Linked DNA regions of Oryctolagus cuniculus. The protein of the gene in region 2 purifies or fractionates together with the protein of the main gene of each other region. This does not show direct contact. Links are inferred from orthologs where the notes say so. Each region holds a gene or a part of one and is shown on either strand. Other genes may lie near its edges.

The links.
Region 1: the proteins of SIN3B (region 2) and ARID4B purify together in Homo sapiens (affinity purification with mass spectrometry; 3 studies listed by BioGRID and IntAct, with this or other methods). This does not show direct contact. The link is inferred for Oryctolagus cuniculus from reciprocal best matches to the Homo sapiens genes SIN3B and ARID4B.
Region 3: the proteins of SIN3B (region 2) and SAP130 purify together in Homo sapiens (affinity purification with mass spectrometry; 3 studies listed by BioGRID and IntAct, with this or other methods). This does not show direct contact. The link is inferred for Oryctolagus cuniculus from reciprocal best matches to the Homo sapiens genes SIN3B and SAP130.

Annotation. Positions count from the first base shown.
Region 1 is NC_091444.1:54,442,482-54,450,622, reverse strand, and holds part of ARID4B (AT-rich interactive domain-containing protein 4B), read left to right. Parts: intron 1-151; coding exon 152-1,363; intron 1,364-1,763; exon of another isoform or gene 1,764-1,877; intron 1,878-4,536; coding exon 4,537-4,650; intron 4,651-5,411; coding exon of another isoform or gene 5,412-5,425; exon of another isoform or gene 5,426-5,561; intron 5,562-7,230; coding exon 7,231-7,446; intron 7,447-8,141. UniProt on the Homo sapiens protein: Acts as a transcriptional repressor. May function in the assembly and/or enzymatic activity of the Sin3A corepressor complex or in mediating interactions between the complex and other regulatory complexes.
Region 2 is NC_091447.1:65,108,507-65,116,647, reverse strand, and holds part of SIN3B (paired amphipathic helix protein Sin3b), read right to left. Parts: intron 7,265-8,141; coding exon 7,058-7,264; intron 5,850-7,057; coding exon 5,706-5,849; intron 3,028-5,705; coding exon 2,905-3,027; intron 2,822-2,904; coding exon 2,732-2,821; intron 2,647-2,731; coding exon 2,528-2,646; intron 1,145-2,527; coding exon 937-1,144; intron 708-936; coding exon 591-707; intron 351-590; coding exon 112-350; intron 1-111.
Region 3 is NC_091434.1:118,466,079-118,474,319, forward strand, and holds the start of SAP130 (histone deacetylase complex subunit SAP130), read right to left. Parts: upstream 4,950-8,241; 5' UTR 4,841-4,949; coding exon 4,769-4,840; intron 3,904-4,768; coding exon 3,786-3,903; intron 1-3,785. UniProt on the Homo sapiens protein: Acts as a transcriptional repressor. May function in the assembly and/or enzymatic activity of the mSin3A corepressor complex or in mediating interactions between the complex and other regulatory complexes.

The DNA.
Region 1 (8,141 bases), on a different chromosome or scaffold from region 2:
CATTGTTCAGGTTTTTTTTGTTTGTTCCAGTGTTGATTCTCTGAAGTCCAGAACTCTTCCATTTCCTGATTCTTTGTATGTGACTTGTGTTAAGAAAAAAGAAGATATTATTAGAGTTCTTTTCTTACCATTTTTTCCTTTTGTTTTCTAGCTTCTGAAAGTTCTGCTGAGGACAGTGAGCAAGAAGATGAGAGAAGTACTGAGGATATAGATAATAATGGCAAAGAAGAATCTAAAATTGACCATTTGACCCACACCAGAATTGAACTTATTTCAAAAGAGGAGCAGAACAGTTCATCTCTGCTGGAAGAAAACAAAGTTCACACGGATTTGGTAATATGTAAACCAGCATCAAAATCTCCAGAAAGACTAAGAAAAGATGTGGAAGGATTATCTGAAGATACTGATTATGAAGAAGATGATGTCACAAAAAAGAGAAAAGAAGTCAAGAAGGACACAATGGACAAATCTTCAAAGCCACAAATAAAACGTGGTAAAAGAAGATTTTGCAATACAGAGGAATGTTTAAAAACTGGATCACCTAGCAAAAAGGAAGAGAAGACCAAGGGCAAAGAATCACTTTGCATAGAAAATAGTAGCAACAGCTCTTCAGATGAAGATGAAGAAGAAAAATCAAAAGCAAAGATGACACCAACCAAGAAATACAATGGTTTGGAGGATAAAAGAAAATCTCTACGGACAACTGGATTCTATTCAGGATTTTCAGAAGTGGCAGAAAAAAGGATAAAACTTTTAAATAACTCTGATGAAAGACTTCAGAACAGCAGGGCTAAAGATCGAAAAGATGTGTGGTCGAGTATTCAGGGACAGTGGCCTAAAAAAACGCTGAAGGAGCTTTTTTCTGACTCGGATACTGAGGCTGCCGCTTCCCCACCCCATCCTGCCCCAGAGGAAGGGGCAACAGAGGAGTTACTGCAGACTGTGGCTGAAGAGGAGAGTTGTTCACCCAATGTAGAGTCAGAAAAACCACCACCAGTCAATGTTGATAGTAAACCCATTGAAGAAAAAACAGCAGAGGTCAATGACAGAAAAGCTGAGTTTCCAAGCAGTGGTAGTAATTCAGTGTTAAATACCCCTCCTACTACGCCCGAATCGCCTTCCTCAGTCACAGTCACAGAAGCCAGTCAGCAGCAGTCCTCTGTGACAGTATCAGAACCCCTAGCTCCAAACCAAGAAGAGGCTCGAAGTATCAAGAGTGAAACCGATAGCACAATTGAGGTGGACAGCGTTGCAGGGGAGCTCCAGGACCTGCAGTCTGAGGGCAATAGCTCACCAGCAGGCTTTGATGCAAGTGTGAGTTCCAGCAGTAGTAATCAGCCAGAGCCAGAACATCCTGAAAAAGGTGAGGAGGAAAAAAGTGTATGTTGACTTTTTTTAGAATTTCCCCTCTTAAATTTTTAATGGTTTCACAGTATCTCGTTTTAATATGACACATTTAAGTGATGTACTTGTGTGATCCTGGTAAAAGTGGAAATTTGAAAGGTAATCTAACTAATGAATAGTGAAATGCATTTAAAATCTTGAGGGGCCTTTAAAGTCCTTTGCTTGAGCCGTCCATGAACTTTCATAGTCGACCAGAACACATGCTGGAAATTGCACCCAGGCCAAAATCCACACCTGTTTGAAAAATCATTATATATGCTGGTTGACTATATGGCTTGAGCAACTGAAATATATTTCTGTAACATTGTTTTTGCAATTGTAATGTGCAGTTTCTCACAAACATTTTGATTTATTGACAGACCCCTCCACCCTTAACCAAATACTGTATGTAGGGGTTTGGAGCAACCAACTGTCCAGGCACTGCTTTCCTCAGACAACCGTGTCAAACTGATTTTCAAGCCTGACTAACTTGTGTGAGTCTGTAAAGGAATTTGATGCTTTCTTAGATGCATAGCTTCCAAATTGAAGGACCAATATATGTGTTAATAAACTATAGCATTACTTTTTTGATTTTCCGTGAAGTTGTTTAAAAGTGGAAATTCAAATTAGTACTTTCCAAAAGTATTAGTGCCTTTCGATGGTGCCATACCTATACATTTCTATCATCATTTTTCTTATAAACCAGTTCATTCAGGTAGCTTTGAATCAGTATACTCTAGGCTGACACTTGGCTTTTGAAACACATTTTTCCATTGGAAAGATAGAATGCATAGGGTATACATCAGGTTTTCATGTGCTAGCTATAGATTTTCAGCTAAACTCAAAAGAGAAACAATCTAGATTAGTTCTAAGGTTTTTCTCACAAATCTTAAAACATTTCTTCTTTTAAAAATTTTTTATTTATCTGTGAGACAGATAAAGAGCTTCATCCACTGGTCTGCTCCCCAAATTCCTATAATGTTCTAGGCTGGGCCCAGCCCAAGACAGTAGCCAGGAGCTCAACCTAGGTCTTTCGTAAGAGTGGCAGGAGCCCAACTATTTGAACTATCAGTGCTGCCTTCCAGGGTCTGCATTAGCAGGAAACTTGAGCCAGGAATGAAACTGAGGAGCTTTGATGTGGGATGCAAGTATCCTAACAGGTGTCTTAACCACAAGGCCAATCACCTGCCCTAAGACATTTCTTTTTAAAATTAATTAAGCAAAAAGTATAGTTGCAATTAAATCAAGATGATCTTTGTTTTTTGTTTTTGTTTTTGTTTTTTTTTTTCTGCTTTCACAAGTATACAGTTACTATAGTTACATCTGTGTGCCATACTCTTTCATGGAACCAAATTACCTCGGCATGAATGGAGTAATCTTCCATATGAAAGAATCTTTTGTCACAAATGATGAGATAGGCAGTCAACAACAGTATGATAAAATTTTACAGTTACATTTATTAGTAGGTTATATCCTCATGTTCTTCATTTCTTAAGAAAGATTAAAATTAACAAAAAAGTTATTGTATCATCTACAAATAGACTGTTAGTATTGCCTTTTTGATTTTAGTCTGGACTAGTTTGAAAAGTGTAGAAGTTAAGAGCTGCTCCCAAATTTAGGATGAGAGAAATCATCTGCTTTATCAAATCAAAATATTTTTTAATTGTTTAGAATATGTTTGGAATAAATTCTCAAGTATCCTTTGTATAAGGCCTGCTTTTAATAAATTTGGGAATATTAGAGAATCTGCATTAAGTAAAAATATGTTTCACTATTTAGTTTTTCCACTGTACTTTAGTGTTTATGGAAGTTTTTATTTCTTAGTATCTGAAAGCATTAAAATTAAACTCTTGGAGAGAAAAATGGCACTTAATTATAAAATTTTGTGCTTCAGTATAGTTGACATTTAAGTCACCATATTTATGTTTCACTTAAATCACATTAAAATAATGCTAAGAGAAATTATAAATAACATATCACCCTTTAAAAAAGAAAAGTATCTAGGAAGTTGCAAACATTTAATAGCCTGTCCCATTCTTGACCACAGTCATGTTTCAACACTGAAATATTGATTTTACCATTGGTAACAGAACCAGAAAACTTTGTAGTAAACCGTGCATGATTCTTTCATAATATTAATTTATATCATGTATTATAGTATCTGACATTGGAACTAAATGGAGATAGCACTTCATTCATCTGTGCCTGAAAGCATCTTTTGTGTAGTCTGAGAGATAATATAAATAATTAGAAAAATACTAAAACGTAGTAGATGCTAAGGACCAAATGAGTAGTATAGAAAGATACATCACTGGAATAGTGATTAATCCGTGAAGCTGGGAGCCTCAGGGAAGGTCTTAGTGAAGATGCAGGACTTGAGCTAGTCAAAGAAAAAGGAGACATTTATTTATCATGTATTGGGATAATTTCCCACCAAGATATTTCTTAGAATTACTGTATTGAGTTTGTAATATAGATATATACACACACACCATTGCAAATATATACATAATTATTTGTAATGTGTATATATATAGTATATATACACTTATACCATTGCAAATATATACAAACATTTGTAATGTATATTATATTGTAATATATTACATATATATTTTATATATAAAATAACCAGTGTCCTGAGAGCTAAGCTTTTTTGAAATAAGTGTTAAAAAACCAAGTGTGAATTATTACTAAAGTTTATCCCATTAATATTTTTATGCCACTTAAAATTATATTAATATCATTGTAAGACATAACATTGATATTTTTAAGCTGCAATTAAATTTTAATATTTTGATTTTAATGAATCTTAACAAATTTCAGTTTTTATTTTCAGCATTTACCTGTTTTTCAGTTTCTAGATATATAAACTCTCAGTGCTATATTGAAAACTATTTTCAATTTATACTGATTTTTCTAAGGATGTGTATACTTTATTTACTTTCTAAAATACCCTAATTTTTATTATATGCAAGAATTCAGCTTTGGTGAATGGTAGTTTATTAAAAATTTATATTAACTTGTATGATAATTATAAATCTCACAAAGACCATGTAGGTTTGGAACTGTTTTTTTTACAATGTGGAATTAATTTATACCTAGGGTATGTTTGATTTTATTTTGTGTTACTTAATTTCTTTCCCATCATAGCCTGTACAGGTCAGAAAAGAGTGAAAGATTCTCAGGGAGGAGGAAGTTCATCAAAAAAGCAGAAAAGAAGCCATAAAACGACAGTGGTAAACAACAAAAAGAAGGGAAAAGGCAGTAAGTGTGAAACCTCTAGTTTTTAAAATATAAAAATAATAGCTGATATACTTTGCCCCTCCCCATTAAGAAAAGGGTATTCAGAATATGGGATAGATCAATGTTTTTTTCTCACTACCTTCAAAAATGTCACACAAAAGTTTTCTGCCTCTCTGTAGGTAAAGCAACTCATGTTCTCCACACTACCATTAACCCTCCTCTTGTTTTTAAATAAGTTTTTAAAAAGGGGAGGGGCAGTCATAGAGTTTTCTGATCCTATAGTAAATTCTGTGATTTAAGCAAGTTGGTATTGTTCAGCAGCTGCATTGATTGTTGATGAATGATTGGTTAATCCTTTTAAAAATCATAACTAATGTAACATAAACAAATATCATTGTTACCTTTGTGTTCCAGTTTTTTTTCACTTAATTATCTATATCAAATATTGTACAGTTCTTCAGTCGTATATTTTTATTACCATGAAATTGGCTGCTTAGTAATTCTTCAAGGCAAAAGCAACATAGAAGGAAACAATCAAGATAGCTTTAGAATCATAATTCCAGCAATTCCAGTTTGTATTTATGTTTGGTACGCCACACTGTGTGACTCTAGAGCAACTACAAGCTAGTATGCTTCCAGCCAAATACTTAACTTTAGCAATGACGCTGCTCATTGACTTACAGAGAATATATTATACTATATTTCTCCTGAGGGCTGCACATTGTATCTCTCTTTTGTAGATAAAGGAAGAAGCGGAAAATATGTAAAGAATTTTTTTTCAGGTGTCCCACACTGACCTCCTGCTGCTCTTCCAGGAGACTCCTGCCACCTCCACTGCCTGACCTTTGCTAGCAGCCGGCTTGGCTGCACTTCAGTGCAGAAAAGGGTTATTCGGCCAGCTCCCCGAGGTTCTGCTGAGCCCATATGACTTCCAGGCGGTGAATATGGCATCCCTCGGGCCCCGGGCGGCTGTGCTCAGCAAGGCCATGAAAGCCAGGCAGAGGCAGGCCACTGCATAGAGTGGGACTGAGCCTTGGGTGACTTAGCTTGGAGCTGCCAGAGGTTCCAGAGCAGCAGTGGGAGGCTGGGAGGGAATTCAGATACAAAATGCGAAGAGTGGTGGAGTTTCTTTATTTCCAAAAGAGCACGGTGGGAGGAGATGCTATGTTCATTTATTTACTATTTGTAATACTTTTCAGGCTTTACAGCCTGTTTTTTTTCTTTTAATGGCTATTAAGTAAAGAATCAATATATCATAATGCAAATTGTTCATCAGTTATTTGGTGTAACTGATGGATATTTAAAATGATAGGATTCATTTTTCTTACATTGTGATATTTTTGTCTTCAAGACTTTATTGTTTAAATGACATTTCCTGAGAGGGCTCATCTTCAACAAGTTAGTTAATATATCCATACAGTATAGAGGGTGCAATAGTTGATTGAGTTTTTCCTATTTTAATTATTGGGATTCTGCCATGGTAAATCAGAATGAGTTAACTCTCTCTGAGAATGACTTGTTAAAGTGAATTAATTTCTGATGGAATCTAAAATAGTATTTTATATCCAAAAAGTAATTCATGGAAATACTAATCCTATCACCTATTCATATGGTAAGCTGTCAAGGTTAAGTATTTGCATTCTAGTACTAAATCTTAATTATCTAAGGCAGATGTAACATAACTGTTATACTGACTACTAAATTCTCATAAACTACTGGATATATTCATCCAGGAGGGAATTTACCAATGGAAAAGTGATGGTTTATTTTAGTCATAGGAGTTATTTAAGAAGAAATTTATTATACATGTCAAAACTGTGAGTGTATTTTCAAGGAATTCTTTATTGAATATGATGATTATGCTCTTTGTAAATGGCCAAGAGAGTAAGAAAATATTATGTGTCCTATTTTTTAAAAAAGTGATTTATTTATTTATTTGAAAGGTAGAGTTACAGAGAGAAAGAGAGAGAGAGAGAGAGATCTTCCATTTGCTGGCTCATTCCCCAAATGGCCTCAACTACCCTAGGCTGGGCCAGGCTGAAGCCAGGGGCTTGGAACTCCATCTGGGTCTCTGTATGGGTGGCAGGGCCCAAGTACTTGGGCCATCATCCTCTGCTGCTTTCCCAGTGCTGGAAGTTGGACTGGAAATAAAGCAGCCAGGACACTAACCAGTGTTCATATGGGATTCTGGTGTCCCAGGCAGCAGCCCAACCTACCATGCCACAACACCTGCCCTATCTAAAGTTTTTTAAAATTAAGAAGTTTCTAAAATATAATTCTAAAAGATGCTGCATTTTTACTCTATATAGTAACATCATAGATTTATAAAAACCTTCAGGTGATTGCTGTGTATTTGACAGGCTATGTAATTTGGAAGATTAGTGTGTTTTTATTATTATTATTATTATTATTGGCCGTTCAAATACGAACATATGTTTTTTTAAACTGGGATGCTGCTACATTTGTGTGTGATTTTTTTAGGTTTATGGGCAGACTGCTATAGTCATAAATTCAAATGGTTAGTTTAAAATTATACACTAAAAGCATGTGACAAATTCATTGTTACCCTTTTGGTTATTAATGTTTTTCTTTTTCTTTCAGCAAACAGTAGTGACAGTGAAGAACTTTCAGCTGGTGAGAGTGTAACTAAAACTCAGCCAGTCAAATCAGTTTCCACTGGAATGAAGTCGCATAGTACCAAATCCCCAGCAAGGACACAGTCTCCGGGAAAGTGTGGAAAGAATGGGGATAAGGATCCTGATCTCAAGGAAGCCAGTAATAGATTACCCAAAGTTTACAAGTGGAGTTTTCAAATGTGTAAGTGACATATGTTGACAAGTAAGCTGTAGGAAGTTCATCCTGGTAACTCTTAATGCTAGTACTCTGAAAAAGAGGCTATACCAAACTTAAGAGACATACTAACCAATTGCAGTGTATAGATCTGATTTGAATAAACAAATCACAAAAGAATAAATTTTATGAGAATGGTAGCAAACAATATGAAACTATGTTTTTGATATGCTAGAAAAAACAACCTGGTATTATATTTGAAGAATGGATAGGGTTACAGATGAGGCAAGATTTGTCATAATTGGTAATTACTGAAGCTGGGTGAAAGGCTAATGGACTTCAGTATACTTCTCTCTGTACTGTGTATATGTGAGAGATCTCCATAATAAAGGAAGTGTGTCTAAAAAAAGGCTGCACTAAAGCTTTTCACATAGGGAAATTCCACAGGTATTTTTTGGAGATTATAAATTGCTTTAGAGTTTTGATAGTTTTCTTTGAATATAAAAGCTATATGCATTCACCAAAATTTGAAACATAAAAACAACAGAAGAGAAAAGCTTGTCAGCAATTTTCTTCAAAAACATATAATGTTAAAATTTGGTGTCTTTCTAGTCTTATTTCTAAATATGATTTGCTTTTAAGATTTATTTTAATATTCATTTTATTTAAAAGAGAAAAAGAGAGAGAGAGACAGAAGAAGATCTTCCATCTACTGCCTCACT
Region 2 (8,141 bases):
CGAGGGCGGCCCCGACGGCCCCCGGCCCGAGCTGCGCGGGGGCGCCCACTGCCCCGGGCCAGGCGGCACCGCGCATGCTCCGAGCGCGGGCCGGGGGCGGGGGCGGGGCACCTTTTGAGCACCACGGGCACGGCGGTGACCGGGTTCTTCTTGAGGCTCTCCACGATGTCGGGGGCCTTGTCGCCGTAGATGCGGTGGATGGCGCGCCGCTGGATCACCTCGGACGTGCCGCCCAGCGAGTCGTCCAGCCGGAACTTCTCCTGGTCCTCGGGCGCCATCCGCGACAGCTTCTTCTGCACGCTCTCCAGCACGCGGATGGTGGCCAGGTTGGTCTCCAAGACGACGTCCAGCTAAGGGGAAGGGGGGCGGGGTCGCACGGTCGGGACCCCGCCCCTGCCCCTCCCAAGCTGCGCCACCCGCAGGTGCCGCGGCGTGTGACAGGACGGCAATGACGCCAATTCAAGTTCCCATTAGAAGTCCAGTTCTAAGGGGGGGGGGACTCCACCCAACGTGCCGCCGGCTCTGCGAGCAGGCAAGGTCGCCCCGGAGCGCCCCCTGCTGGCCGCTCCCGGCCCCGGGGCGAGCTGCACCTCGAAGCGCTCGTCCTCACAGCGGTGCAGCTGCTCCTCGTAGGGCGTCTTCTTGGAGCTGACGAAGGTGGAGTCCTCCGACCACGAGGGAAAGGACACCCAGGTGTCGTTCAGCACCTGCGCCCGGGGCGAGAGGGAGAGGGGAGGGGGTACTGGGGGCTCCCGAGCGGCGCTCGGCCCAGCCTCTCTCCCTAGCAGGCAGCCACCGGCGGCACTAAGCCCTGGGCTCCAGCATGGCGCCCCGGCCGGGACCCTGCACCTGCGCCACCCGCTGGTGCCGCGGGGGATCCCGGGAGCCCGCACAGGCGCCCGGGGCGGGGGTGGCGTCCCATCCACGCGGCCCCACCTCCTTGCAGATGGCCGTGCGCCCGCTGCAGCGCGGCTGCTGGTAGGTCTTGGGCAGCGCCCGGTAGCTGGAGCCGATGCGCTTGCAGGAGGCGTAGTCAATCTCCCGGCTCATCCCGTCCCCGGACCGCTCGCTCATGGGCGGCGCGAACGAGAGCTCCTTCACCCCCAGGAAGGACTTGAACTGTGCAAAGAGTTCCGGGAACTTCCTGCCACGAGCAAACACGGGAGAGTTGGCCTGAGACTGGAGGGCCCCCTGGCCCAGCGTTCAAGGCCAGGGACGCGGGGTTGGGGGGTGCGGGCGGAGATGGCTGCAGAGCCCCAGGAGCACTAGTGCACCTGCCCTGCCACTACCTGGGCCCGTTCCCACGGACCTAAGGTGCCCAGAGCCCAGGTGCGGACGCTGGCCCATCTACCCGCTGCCCGCTCTTGTTAATCAAGTTTTATCAGCGACCCCTGCAGAGGCCCCGGCTGTGGCCGCTCTGCCCGAGGGCAGAGTTGAGAAGTTTCCACAGGGCCATCGGGTCCTTCCCAGGCCAAGGCAGCCGATTGCCGATCCACAGTCTCCCCTCTGCGGGCCGCGTGGCCACCACGCACGTGCATCTAATATCTTAACACCCCCGACCCCCGCCCCGGCATTTCTGTCTGACGCAGCATCAAATACGCTCACACCTATGTGTTCCTAAGACGCTTACAAGACAAACCAAGGGCGACCCCAGGGAGCAGACTGTCTGCCCAGGACCCAGCGTGGGAACAAACCCGGCCTGCTGATCCCTGGCCAGGCAGCCGGGTCTCCCACGTGGGTACAGGGGCCAGAGGACTGGAGCTGCCCCCTGTCGCCTCCCAGGGTGCGCATGCGCAGCAAGCAGGGCCCAAAGGTGCCCTGACACCCCTGAGACGCCACGTTAGGGGCTGCGGGAGCGGGTGCTCTTGGAGCTCCCGGAAACTGCGGGGAGGGAACATTTCACGACCCCCACTGGCGAGGCAGCCATTGCACGCCACAGGTGCGCGGGACCCAGGGCTGCGGGCGTGAGCGTGAAGCACGCATGCGCAGTCAGCTCCCGAAGTCGCCAGCCCCTGGGCCCTACAGGGGGTGCTGGACGCTGCTGTGGGGGCACGCGAGGTTCCGGGGGGCCAGGGCTTCTGAGGGGTTGGTTATGGGGGGGGGGCTCTCTAGAATTGCACTACATCCTGTGAGGCTTCCGAGGTGCAGGCCAGTCGGGTCTGTAAAGGCCTGGCCAGGGCACAGCAAGTGCAAGGGTCCTGTGTCCCGACGTGGGGCGAGCACTCAGGCCTCGAGGGTGCCGGGGCTGGGCACAGCTCCACGGCGGCCCTCAGCTCCCCGCTAACCACGCGCACCTGGGAGGCGGCAGGGGCGGCTCAAGCGCGTGGGGCCCCGCCCCTCACGGGGAGCCCCGGTTTTGGCCGAGCCCGGCCCACCTGCTGCAGGCAGAGATGATGGGAGCTCTGGCTCTCGAGCTCCCCTGCAGGGCGGGGCCCACCGGCTCCGCCTCCCGCACAGGGGGCGGGCACAGCACGGGGCCAGGGGCGGAGCGCGGTGGGGAAGGCGGCACCCGGGGGCGGGGGCTCACCCTAGGAAGGGGCTGACCAGCTGCAGGAGCTCGGAGCCCGACACCAGCTCCTGGTTGAAGAGCGCGATGCAGCGCAGGAAGTTCTCGTACACCTCCTGGCTCTTGAGCACGCGGCGCACCTGCGGGGGCGGGGGCGGCTCAGCTCCGGCGGGGCGGGGACAGGGGCTCAGCCCCCCTCACCAGGGCCCCCGCCGCCCCGCCGACCTTGTCGAAGAAGGAGAACTCCTGCAGGGTCCCGTACTTCCCCACGGCCGCGATGGACAGGTCCTTGTTCCCACGAAGCTTCATCTTCTTCTGCGGAGACGAGCGCGCCGCTCAGGCCCGCCGCCCGCCTCTGGGGCCCGGGGACCCCGGCGCCCGCAGCCCCCGCCCGTTACCTTGGCCGGCGCCGACACGGGCCGGAGCAGCGAGGGCCGCGAGCGCTTTTTGCTGTGCTCCAAGCCCCTCTCGTGTCCGGCCTTGGGGACGCTGCTCGTCTCGCACGGCCCGTTTCCTGTGAACTGAGGACGGGGCGTGGGGTGGTCAGCGAGGGGGCCGGGTTGCGGCGGGGGAGGAAGAGGGGCCCGGAGCCCCGCAGGCAGGCGCCTGTGAAGCCAGAAGCTGCCGGAGGTGCTCCCCGCCGGGGCCACCCCACCGCCTGCACGTGAGCGCCCCGGAAATGGGGGGGAGGGGCTGCTGTGCACCAGGCCACCGATGGGAGCCTGGACACCAAGGTTTGGGCTCTTTCCTTTAGAAAAAAAAGTTCTCTACTTCTACTTATTTCAAAAGTGACAGCACGCCCGCCAGCCGTCCACAACAGCCAGCGCTGGAGCCAGGAGCCAGGAGCTCCATCCGGGTCTCCCACGTGGGGGCGGGGCCTGCCCAGGTACATTTGCAGGGAGCTGGGTGGGAAGTGGAGCCAGGTGCTCTGCTGTGGGATGCGGGCGTCTTACCCACCGCACCCGACACGGCCGGGCTCTCTCCTCTGTGGGACATAAGGGGGCTGGGCCGGGAGCTGGTGGGGGGCCTGCTTCCTGGGCTAGCCGCCAGCCCTTGCTTCTCCCCAGCGGGCACCCGGGCCTACACAAGCGGCTCTGGAACGGCCGACTCAGCACCAGGATCTTCACCCGCAGTGCGGGCCATACAGCGGCAGCGCGGCCCAGTGGGGAAGCCGCCCGCGGCGCCGGCAGGCATCCCATGTGGGCGCCGCTCCGAGTCCCGGCTGCTCCACTTCTGATCCAGCTCCCTGCCATGGCCTGGGAAAGCAGTGGTTGCTCCTGCACCCGCGTGGGAGACCCGGATGGTTGCTGGCTTTGGACCGGCCCAGCTCTTTCTCAACGCACAAGGGCGCTCTTGTGCCCGAGTCACTAACGATGCTACACTGACTTTGTTCCTGGGCGATGCGGCTCCCGCATCGGAAGGGCCGCCTGGCGAAGGCTGAGTTGCGCCCACCAGAGGGCGCTGTGGCCACAGCCACCAGAGAACCAGAGTGTCCCCCCACCCCCGACACCCACTGGGCAGGAACAGATCGGCCGGCCTGTTTCCCCCATGGCAGTGTCCACTGTGCACGCCCCACAGCCCAGTAGACGGAGCCCCACGTGCAACACTGACCCCAGGACACGGGGGGGGGGGGTCACTCCGGCCGGGACTTCCCTAAGCAAACTTTTCTCGGCCTCCTCCCCGCGGCCCACAGGGGGCGCTGATCCCCCAGGCTCCTACCCCAGCGCCTCCCCTCCGGGAGGCAGCCACAGCACCTCCTGAGACCGTGAGGGCCAGACCGCCCTGCCCGCTCAGTGCTGCAGCGGTGGCTTGGGGAGCCCAGCGTGGACACCGCAGGTCCCATCTGGGGGCAGCGTGCTAGGCGGAGCGCTGCAGGTGTGGGACACAGCGGTGACACCCAGACCCAGGGGGGACCACCCACAAACAACACCCAGCGGCCCCGGGGACAGCGGGGGGACACGGGGGCCCACATGGCCCACCACGCGGCTGCGCCACACAGGCAGGCCTTGAGACCCGTCTGCTCCGCGGGTACCGAGTCCCTGGAGCGGGCAGGCAGCCAGGGCCCCAGGAAGAGGCAGGGGACAGGGCAGATTCTGAACTTGAGAGCGGGCAGGGCCCGGAATTCAGGGGAAGGCGCATCAGAGGGCAGGGGGCCGGGACACAGGCTTGCGGAAGAGGGCCGTCCCTGTCCCTGGGGGACTCCCGTAGCCCCGCCTCCAGTACTCCCGGGGGTCTTCCCCAGGCCAGGCAGGGCGAAGCCTGCAAGCTCCAGCCCACACCTGCTTCTGCACGAGGGCCCAGCGTCTACACCTGCTTCTCCTGCGTGAGGGCCCCGCGTCTACACCTGCTTCTCCTGCGTGAGGGCCCCGCGTCTACACCTGCTTCTGCATGAGGGCCCCGCGTCTACACCTGCTTCTCCTGCGTGAGGGCCCCGCGTCTACACCTGCTTCTCCTGCGTGAGGGCCCCGCGTCTACACCTGCTTCTCCTGCGTGAGGGCCCCGCGTCTACACCTGCTTCTCCTGCGTGAGGGCCCCGCGTCTACACCTGCTTCTCCTGCGTAAGGGCCCCGCGTCTACACCTGCTTCTCCTGCATGAGGGCCCAGTATCTACACCTGCTTCTCTATCACAAATGCCCAGCATCTACACCTCCTCCTGCACGAGTGCCCGTGTCTACACCTGCTTCTCCGGCAAGAACGCTACTGCCCTGCTGGGTCCCCACATGACAGGGAGCCGACACACGACCTGGGGGGTCAGGAGGGCTGGAGCCCCCAGAGTCCAGGCCCTTGAGGGCACCCAGCTCCAGGCACTAGGATGGGGCCAGAGAAGAGACGGAGGTTGTCCAACCCTGTGAGTGCCCCAAACGCCACTTGGAGATGGTGAATTTTGTTGCCTGAATTCCACATCAATAAAAGGAAAAAACCAAAATTGCAGGCTCACTGGAAAGAGGGTGAGAAAAGAGGAAGTGGACAAGACAGCACCGGCAGCGGCCTGCCCCCTCCCCCCCACCCCCACGTTCCCATCCACCCCGAGGCCGGCCCCAGTCCCACCCAGCACCTGAGAGGTGGTGGCCACCCCCGCCCCCAGCGCCAGTTTAAGAACCACTGCGGGTGGAGTGGCCACACGGTGCAGCCGGCGCGGGCTGGGGGCAGCCCACGGGTCCAGGCGGTGTGCCGGCCTGGCGCGGGCCCGGGCACTCACCAGGGAGCGCTTGGCTTCAGGCAGGAACTGGCCGAACTCGGAGAGCAGGTCCTCCTGGCCGCGGAAGAGGCTGGCCACCTCGGCGAACACCTCCTCCTCCGACATGCCACGGAACGGCCGGCCCTTGGCACCCAGCTGCTCCTTCTGCCGCCCGGGGAGGCAAGGGGGCGGGGAGGGAGCGTCAGCCGGGGGGCCGGGCTCCCCGGGGCCTGCACGAGGCGGAAGCCTCCGGGGACCGGCCGGTGCACAGCCGTCTCAGCCCCGGCTGCAGATGGGCACCCGGGGGCTGGGGAACCACAAGGTCAGAGTCGGGCGCACAGCCGCTCCCACGCAGAAGGCGTGGGGAGCCAGCAGCGGGCCACGCTGGGCAGGCGGCCCGACCAGATCAAGGCAGTGACCGGCACCGGGGGGCCAAGGCCAGAGGACAGGAACCAGCCAGCTGCACTCAAGTTGGCAGTCAGAACATGAGGGAACTTCAAACAGGTTACCCAAAAAGCGAATTAAAAGGTATGTTTCACGGGGCTGGCATTGAGGCATCCCATATGGGCATCAGTTCGAGTCCCAGCTGCCCCACTTCTGATCCAGCTCCGTGCAGTGGCCCAGGAGGGCAGAGGAGGATGGCCCAAGTGCTTGGGCCCCTGCACCCACGTGGGAGACCCGGATGGAGCTCCTGGCTCTGGCCTGGCCCAGCTCTAGCCATTGCGGCCAACTGGGGAGTGAACCAGTGGGTGGAAGCGCTCTGTGTCTCCCTCTTTTATTTGGAAGTCAGTTACGCAAGCTTGCTCCTTTGTAGTACAAAAGAAAGCAGTGAGGGTGACGCTGTGCCTGGCAGGGAGTCTGCCCTGCCCGGGCAGGAGGTGGACAGCCGGGAGCCCCAGGCCTCCTGGAGGGGCCCCACACCCTGACTGCTGGCAGGCACTTTTCCCCACCCGGCTCCCTGTAACAGGGAGCTCCCGGGTGTGGCGCAGGCCCATCAGGACCACCTGGGGTGCTAGCCGAGCTCCGTGACCTTGGGGCTGATTGGAGAAGCAGAGCGGCACCCATATCCCATATCGGTTCTCCCCTATAGGGTGAGCGCTGCCCTGAGTTAGCCACACCCCCTCCACCTGTGTGGTGGTTAACTTGTCTCCGGTGTTTCTCGTGGAAGAACGCCGTGGCCCCACCATCCCAGCAGCGCCGGGGCCTCGCGGCTCGAGCCCGCACAACCCCTGCCTGCAGCGCCGGCATCCCATACAGGTGCAGGTTTGAGTCCCGGCTGCTGCACTTCCGCTCAGCATGGTGACTTTTACGTCCTATATACCTGAGCACGGTGCAAAGAAATATGGCCCGGGAGCCGCCCGGAGCCGGCGTACCTGGTAGGTGTGCAGGATCTCCAGGAAGGAGCGGTAGATCTCGGGGTGGTCCAGGAAGCGGGTCTTGATCTTGTTCACGTAGCTGATGGCGTTGTTGAACTCCACCGAGTCGGACTCCAGCGCCGCCTGCGGTCGGTCCTCCTTGTACGGCGCAGGCTGCTTGACATCCCCGGCGCAGTCCCCGTGGCCGTGTCCATGCGCGTCCTCCTGCAGCGACAGGCAAGGAGACGGGGAGTTACCCCTCGCTGACACCCGGCACACAGCCTAGAACTTTCTACGGGACACCGAGGTTACTCCTGGGGGGCTCGAAGGGGGCACAAACGGAACAGGCTCACGGCCAGCAGAGACTGCCCCCCAACACTTCCCAGCCCTGCTCTGGGAACCCCGCGAGGACTTCGCACGCGTGGGAGAAATGTCCAATCCTCTGCTGAGTTTTGGGCCATCTGGGAAGGCAGCCTTCTAGCACCTTCTAAGACGGGAAGGGGAGGGACCCTCTGCTGTCGGCACTGCCCGACACCAAACCTGCTACCGACCTCGACCTGGAGAAGCCTGGGGCAGGCAAGGCCAGGTGCACCGCCCCCCGCCCCTCCCCCGTGGAGTTGTCACGGCAACAGGGGCGGTGATGGGGGTGGGGGTGTCCTTGGCCACAGCCGCAAAGTTTCACAGGTGGGAGGCGGGGTCGAAGCAGCACGAAGCCGTTTTCCAAGCCGCTCAGAAGGCGTGGGGAAGCCCAGAGGTTCCCGCGTAGCCGCTCAGTCTCCCCCCTGCGCGCGTGCGTCTGCGTCCCTTCACCCTCTGCTGCCACGGACGCTGGGTAGGGCCGCCCCCCAGCAGCCATGGGCGGGAGCTCTGGCGAGGCCCCCTGCGGGCTCCAACACCTGCCAAGGCACGGGTGCCCCCTAAGGAAGGGGCGTGGCCTTGGCGTAGACGGGGGTGGGGGCGTCTCGGGACGACCTGCGGGCGCTGAGGCGCGCTCCGGCGTCCCGCCGCGAGGTTCTGGACAGGTGTGGCCTTTCCCCTAGTGCGTTTCCACCGGCAGCCGGCTGGCTCCGCCGACGTGGACACGTGGGGGAGGTGGTGGGAG
Region 3 (8,241 bases), on a different chromosome or scaffold from region 2:
GGTTATTTCCAAATTTTTGCTATGATCAACAACCTTGTCCAGTGACCCCTTCAGGAAAACAAAGTGTGAGCACTGGAAGAAAAGACTGATGCATACCTTCTGTTTTGCTATATATTAACTCTCCTCTCAGGTCAGTCAGAATTTTAAGAATCCTTATTTATAAAACCACTTTACAGAGGTGTAATTTACATACAAAATATGGATACTTTAAGAGTAGAGTTCAGTGATTTTCTACAAATATCATCAGCGACACCTAGAGGCAGAAGGCCTGGGTTAAGGGGTAAGCACAAGTTTAATGCTAAAAAAGTGTCAAAGGACTTTCCAGAGCAGCTGAACCATTCTAGCTTCCCCCAGCAGGTGAGTTCCAGTGCTCCTCATTCTCCCAGTGCTCACAGACTGCTACTCTATTGGGTGCGCAGTGTGGTGTGTGTGTATGTATGTATGCATATGCGTGTGTGTGTGTGTGTATCATCGTGGCTTTAATTAGTATTTAATTAGTATTTCTATGATGATGTGTACCAACGAGCATCTTTTTATGTGACCATAAGCCATTCATATACATTTTCTTTTATGAAGTGTCTACTCAACCATGTCTATTTTTAATCAATAAGCTTTACTGAGATACAACTTATATGTAAAATTCACTAATTCTTTGGGTAAGCCTAGATAAAATGTCACGAAAGTGGACCGCAGGATAACCACAATGTGATCTGGACATCTGGATATGGGGCTTTTCCCACTACTCCAATAAGCTCAGTCATGTCCACTGCAGTCCACTCCCTCTCCCACGGCTCTGCTCGCTGCCACTACAGCTTTGTCATTTCCGTAATTTCTTATGCACAGAATCACAATCTAAGGTCCTGTGTATCTGGCTTCTTTCCCTCAGTGTAATGTGTCTGAGGTTTAGCCATGCTGTTGGGGTGCTGGCAACCTGGTCTTTTTATTGCTGAGTAGTATTTTTTTTTTTTTAAAGATTTATTCATTTTGAAAGTCAGAGAGAGAGAAAGAGAAAGAGAAAAAATCTTCCATCCACTGGTTCACTTCCCAGATGTCTGCAACAGCCAGGGCTGGGCCAGGACACAGCCAGGAGCTTCATCCAGGTCTCCCATGTGGGTGCAGGGACCCAAGCATTTGGGCCATCTTCTGCTGCCTTCCAGGCACATCAGCGAAGAGCTGGATCACAGTAGAGCAGCTGGGACATGAACCAACGCACATATGGGATGCCACCACAGCTCTGGTCCCACTAAGTAGTATTAAACTGCATGGATATACCACCACAGTGGTAGTTTATTATTTGCATATGTCACAATTTGTCTATCACCAGCTAATAAATACCTGAGTTTTTCCCAAGTTTTGGCTATTATGAATAAAGCTTCTATAAGCATTTGAGTACAAGTCTTTGTATAAACATGTTCTCATTTATTCTAAGTAAATACCTAAAGAACGGAACTGCTCAGTTGTGGCATGTGTTCGACAAGATAATTGCCAAACTGTTTTCCAAAGCGGCCAGTCCCTCTTGCATTCCCATCAACAGTGCATGAGTTCTATCTGCTCTACATCCACACCAATACTTGGCAGTGCCCGCTTTCTAATTTCAGTCACACTAGTGGAATTCTCACTATGGATATAACGTGCGTTGTTCCGAGGATTGATCATTTCAGCACCTTTTCGTGTGTTTCATTTGCTCTCCTCATTTTGGTGAAGTGTCTATTCAAATATTCTGCTCATTTTAAAAAAACCAAGTTCTTTATCTTTTTCCTACTGAGTTATAATGCTTAACATATTCCAGTTATGAGTCCTTTATAGAAATATTTTTCACAAATGTCTTCTTGTCTTCTGTCTGTGGCTTGCCCTTTTTTTTTTTTTTTTTTTTAAAGATTTACTTATTTGAGAGGCAGAGCGACACACAGAGGAGAGACAGTGAGAAAATCTTCCATCCACTGCCTCACTCCCCAAATGGTCACAATGGCTGGAGGTGGGCCAATCCAAAGCCAGGAGCCAGGAGCTTCTTCTGGGTCTCCCACACGGGTACAGGGGCCCAAGCACGTGGGCCACCCTCCAACACTTTCCCAGGCCATCAGCCCAGAGCTGTTTCAGAAGAAGAGCAGCAGGACACGAATTGGCGCCCACATGGGGATGCCGACACTGCAGATGGAGGCTTAACCCACTACACTGTGGAGTGCCGGCCCCCAGGCCCTTTTATTTTCTTAAAGATGTCTTTTGAACAGCAGACAATTTAAACTTTGAGGATAATATATCGGTTACTACTTTTAAAGTTTTCTATTAAAAAATCAGTTACTACTTTCATGATTAGTGTTTGTTGTAATTGAGCGATTTTTGTTTAACCCAAGGTTGCAAAGTTTCTCTGATGTTTCTTTCAGAAAGTTTAAAAGTTATATTTAGGTCTTGAGTTAAGGTCAAGGTTCATCATTTCCCATATTCTAGTGGTCATTTCCCTACTGAATGACTTAAACATTTTGGTCAAAAATCGACTGACCACGTAGGTCTGAGACTACTTTTAGAGCTTCCACTTTTTTCTAGTGACAGATGTTTCTATCTTTTTTTCTCCTTGAAATATTCATTCATTCATTCATTCAGAGAGCGTTAAGGAGAGAGAAACAGAGACTGATCTTCCATCTGCTGGTTCATTCCACAGATGGCCACAAGAATCTAGAAGGGCCGGCGCCATGGCTCAATTAGTTAACCCTCCACCTGCGGTGCCGGCATCCCATATGGGCACCGGTTCTAGTCCCGGTTGCTCCTCTTCCAGTCCACCTCTCTGCTGTGGCCTGGGAAGGCAGTGGAGGATGGCCCAAGGTCCTTGGGCCCTGCACCCGCATGGAAGATCAGGAGGAGGCACCTGTCTCCTGGCTTCGGATCGGCGCAGCGCGCCGGCCGTAGCAGCCATTTCGAGGGTGAACCAACGGAAGGGAAGATCTTTCTCTCTAACTCTGCCTGTCAAAAAAAATAATAATAAAAAAATTAAAATAAATAAATAAATAAAAAAGAATCTGGAAGCTTCATCCTTGTCTCCCATGTGGGTGACAGGGGCCCAAACTCCTGGGCCATTTTCCACTACTTTCCCAGTCCATTAGCAGGGAGCCAGGTCAGGAACAGAGCATTCAGGACATGGGCCAGCAGTCATATGGGATGACCACAATACTGGCCCCTATATGTTTCTATCTCAACACTGATATTGCTTAGTCTTAACTAGTGCAGCTTTACAACCAGTCCTGAAGTAAGGGTGTAGTGTCCTCCCGCTTCTTCTTTGGTCAAAATTGCCTTGGCCATGTTAGATCCTTCAAATAGCCCCAGCAAGTTTAGAACCAGGCTGTCAATCTTTACAAAAGAGCCTGCTGGGATTCTGAGTAGGGTTTCTCTGAATCTTTAGATCACGTTGGTAGAATTATCTTAAAATTACTGAGCTTTCAAACTCATGACCTTTTCCTTTATCTAGTTTCTCCCTCTCTCTCTGTAACTCTTTCTAGTAAGTAAAATAAATCATAAAAAAAAAAAAACTCATTAATGCATTTGAAAAACAGCTCTTACAGGCACATTTTACTGTGAGTTGCCTATGTATTCCAGTACATGAGTACATGTGAATGAAGTGATTAAAATACTAGGGGAAAAAAAGACTTTTTCAAATTAGAATAGTAAAATACACTTTCTTCAACCTCAATACACTAGTATGTACTAAAACCCAAGATGAAATTAGCTGATTTTTAAGTTAGAAAACTGGCAATGTTGGTAAAGCAGGAAGCGATAAAGAATATTACACATCTCACCTGTAGCAGCTGGGTTTATCAATCCTGCAGAGCCACTGTTTGCAATCTGTGAAGGAGCCTGGCTCAGCCCGGTGGAAGGGGTTCCTAACCGAGGGAACTGTTGAGAACTCATTTCCACCTGTAGGACAGAGTCATGTCGTTATTACTAGATTCTAAAGCAGAATCGATATCTGCAACTTAAGCCACCTTTACTGTCTATGACATCTTCTCTTGGAATAGCTAATCTAGCATAATTTAACTAAAATAACAACTTGCAATCCAAATATGAGGTGTCTTCAAAAAGTCAACCATGCAGAGATCTCAAAAATATTCTGCATCTAAATAAACTTATCTTTAGATTCCATTTGCCATCAACTTGTTCAACTGCTCTTGTAAGTGCTGGCATTATTTAAATTATGTGTAAGTTTCTGATATATAGGAGATCAGTAAGTGTACCGTGCAGGGGGATACCTGTGGACTATGAATTTTGCAAAACAGCTACATGATAGGTATCACCACAATGCATAATGGACCTATAAAGTTTTAGGGAAAAAAATGACACGTCCCTTTGAAAGGTTCGAATCGCACAGCAAGGTGAGCAGAACTACGATTGGTGTGTAAAGGAAGGATTCGAAGGGGTGATTCCCAACCCAAAGGAGGGACTCAAAATCTCACATCAAGACGTGATGCAAAAGGAATTCTCCAGCGCTTTTCTGCAAAGGCCTCCATTTACGGATTTCTTTTATCCTCCCTCTCTCACAAGCCCCCGCTGAGCCAGGGGACGCCGAGACCTCCACCTTCTCTGAAATAGCCTCCCACTTCGCCCTCGAGAGTCAGGGTCTGCCAATCTCCCCCATTCCCCTGCAACCCCACCCCACCCCGAACCCCACGCCGAGGTCGCAGCGCCCAGGCTTCCAGACACTCCGGGTGCCTGAGACGCCGACCCCGGAGGAAGTCAGCGTCCCGGGGAGACCCCAGACAACACAAGCAGCGAGCCCCTTTACCTGTAGCCGCCGCCCGCCGCCCGCACCTCCGGCTTCCATCTCGCCGGCCTGGGGCTGCCGCGGAGGGCCCATCTCGGCGGCAGCGCTGGGCTCCGGGGCCGCGGAGAGGACTCGTGCCGGAGCGCTCCCCGCGCCCGCCGCTGTCCAGCCCAGCCAGCCCCGCTCACCCCGCCAACCCGGCCGCCGCGGGGCTCCCAGGCGTCTCTTCCCCCGAACCTGCCCCTACCTCCCCCGCCCGCCCATTGGCCCCACGCCCGGCGCGTCACTAGAGGCCGAGCACCAATCCATAGCGGCCTGAGAGCTCTGGGCCCGCCCCACCCTCCCGCCGACCGCCAGCCAATCAGGCGCGAGCCTCGCTGGGGCAGCCCAAACCCCTCGAGGCTGAGCCAATGGCAGGGGAAGACAAGCGCTCCCGGCAAGGGGGGCGGGGAGCTGGGAGGCCCCGCCTCGGCCGGGGTCTGAAAGCGGCGGGCGCAGGGCCCGGATGTGGAGAGTCACTTTAAACTGCTCCAGGAGCCAAACTCCCTGGGCCGCCCGCCCGCCCGCGCTCCCTCCACAGCTCCGCTTCCCCGCCGAGGCCCACGTCCGCCACGCCCCCATGCCTGGGTCAGCCCACCCCTCCCGGTGCCTCTCCCTTCCTCGCCGCAGGACACCCGGACCCTGCCTCCGCCCCAACCGCCGTGCGCAGCTCGCTAAAGACCCGGGGTCCGAGCCGCAGGAGCCGAGACACCTCTGCCCTTCCCCGGGGACGCGCAGCGGGACGGACGCTGCAGCCCGGCGCGGCCGCCCCGCCCCCTCGCCTCCTCCCCTCCCCTCCCCTCCCGGGCGCCCGTCCCGCCATTACCTGGGTGCTGCGCCGAGTGGTCGCCGCGCCGCCTCGAGCTCGCTCCCGTGCGCTCTCCGCCTGCAGGACCGACGTCCTCGGGCTCCGGACCCGCAGCCGCCGCCGGGGCGCTAGCACTCTGCCCCCCACCCCTCACTCCGGTGCCGCTGCTTCCGCCGCCGTAACGAGCTTGTCGCCTACTGGCTGGGGGAGGCCCCGCCTCGCCCCGGAGGAACCAATCCCTGCCCGCTGTGAGCCGGGGAGCGGACGGGCCTGCCCCTCGAAGCCGCGGGGGCCTCTGGGAAGTGTAGTCTCCGGAGCCAGGAGGGCGGGCCGGGAAGGAGGTGGAGAGCGCCGGGGCGGGGCCTCCCGGCGACTCGACCGGTGCTACACACCCCTTTGCCGTCTGGAGTCGGTTCTGCCTTTTCTCTTTGCCGAGTGAGAGAGGACGGTGGATCCCACCCCTTCGCCTCAGCCTGACGGCGCTAGGTTTCATTTTCCCGAGGGGCGGGCGGTGCGGCGCGGCGCGGGAATGGCAATGGAGGCCGAGCCGACCTCGGCGAGCCGGAGGGGCCGCGGGCAAGGCCGAGGGTGTTTCGGGCTGTGCTTGGGGCCTACTGTGGCTGCCGAAGGCCACGGCGGGCCAAGCCTGAGCGTCGCGGGAGGATGGGGTCTGCGCCGGGCCTGTCTCCGAGCCAGCTCCCGCGGTTGAAATCAGCGGGCTCGGAGCGGGGCTCTGACACGCAGCTCGGAAAGGCAGCTGCCCGAGCTCTCCTGGTCTTCAGAGAAGCCAGGAGCGGCGCTTTGCTTGGTTTGGAGTTTATACACCTGTCGAAGGCTTAGCCAAAACTAGAATACGGCCCCTCTCCCCTTCCCAGACGGTCATAAAGGCCTGGAGTTTCTGAATTAGTTAAAAAACAAACGGGTCGCAAATCCCTTCTTGGCATCCTGCAGACTTCGGTAATTTAGCAAGGAATTAGCCCCTGGCTACCAGGCTGCCTCTCAAGTGCCCCTCTTCCTCTTTCAGGTCACTTTTCTTCCCCCACTTTATTCTCCCCTTCATTCTCAAACTCCTCAAAGCAACTGATGGAATATTCTTTAGTCTCCTCTCTCTCCACTTGTTGGAATCTGCTGTCCCCCGCCTTTTCAAACTGCCCCACTAAAGCTGCTAACACCGACTTAACTTCACACCCAGGGCTGTGCTTAGATCTCTTGCTTAGCTTACTGACCAGGAATTCATCATTTAAGCCTCCCTTGCTCTCTCCTGGTTCTGCTCCAGTTTGTATCACTCCCCAAATGGCCAGGGCTGGAGCCAAGAGCTCAGAGCCCCACTCTTGGGCCATCATCCACTGCCTTCCGAGCACGTTAGCAGGGAGCTGGATCAGAAGTCGAGCAGCAGGACTTTAACCAGAGATGCCCACGCTGAAGGGGGTGGCTTAACCCGTTGCTCCACAGCACCCTTATCAGTTCTGCCAATTCTATAATGCCCAACTGGAAAGAAAATAGTTTCTCTTGTTCAAGAAACTTTCCTCAATTCTGCTTCCCCTACCCTCTTTCATACTTCTGTGGTGCTTTGTCATACAAAGGTGTAGGGGCCGGCTCATTGATCACTTGGGTTAATCATCCCATTTGGGCGCCGGGTTCTAGTCCTGGTTGCTCCTTTTCCAGTCCAGCTCTCTGCTGTGGCCTGGGAAGGCAGCGGAGGATGGCCCAAGTGCTTGGGCCCCTGCACCCGCATGGGAGGCCAGGAGGAAGCACCTGGCTCCTGGCTTCAGATTGACATAGTGGTCATTTGGGGAGTGAACCAATGGAAAGAAGGCCTTTCTGTCTCTCTCAGTATCTATAACTCTACCTGTCAAATAAGAAGAGAGAGAGGTGCTTCAGAAAGTTCATGGGAAAGTAGAATTAAAAGACTTATTTGGGGGCCGGTGCTATGGCACATCTTGTTAATGCCCTGGCCTGAAGTGCCAGCATCCCATATGCGTGTCAGTTCTAGACCTGGCTGCTCCACTTCTGATCCAGCTCTCTGCTATGGCCTGGGAAAGCAGTAGAAGATGGCCCAAGTCCTTGGGCCCCTGTACCCACGTGGGAGTCCCAGAAGAAGCTCCTGGCTTTAGATTGGTACAGCTCCGACCGTTGAGGCCATCTGGGGAGTGAACCAGCGGATGGAAGACCTCTCCCTCTCTTTGCCTCTCCTCTTTCCGTGTAACTCTGACTTTCAAATAAATAAGTAAATCTTCAAAAAAAAAAAAAAAGACTTATTTGAGCATTTAAAAGGTAACCTGTAGAGGTGAAACTGACACTACGAGAAGCAATTTCTTGAACAGCCCTTGTCTTGACTGTCAAGGAACAGTTCAATATTTCATTTTATTTATTTTTTTCTACTTAATACGATTGATTGAACTCTTTACTTAACAGAATTAAGCATAGGTCTATTAAGTCCATTGAAAATAGATCCCAGTTAAAAATGAGAGAGGGAATGAGAGAGGGATGAGCTGAACAGATTGGCACACATTCCCACAGCCTGTCCCTAAGGGTGAAGCTAAAAACTTGCCAAGGGACTCCAAATCCCATTAAGCTAAAGTGGCACTAATCACATCTTATGTGATAAAGTGATCATATTCAATGTGGAATTGATCATATAGATAGG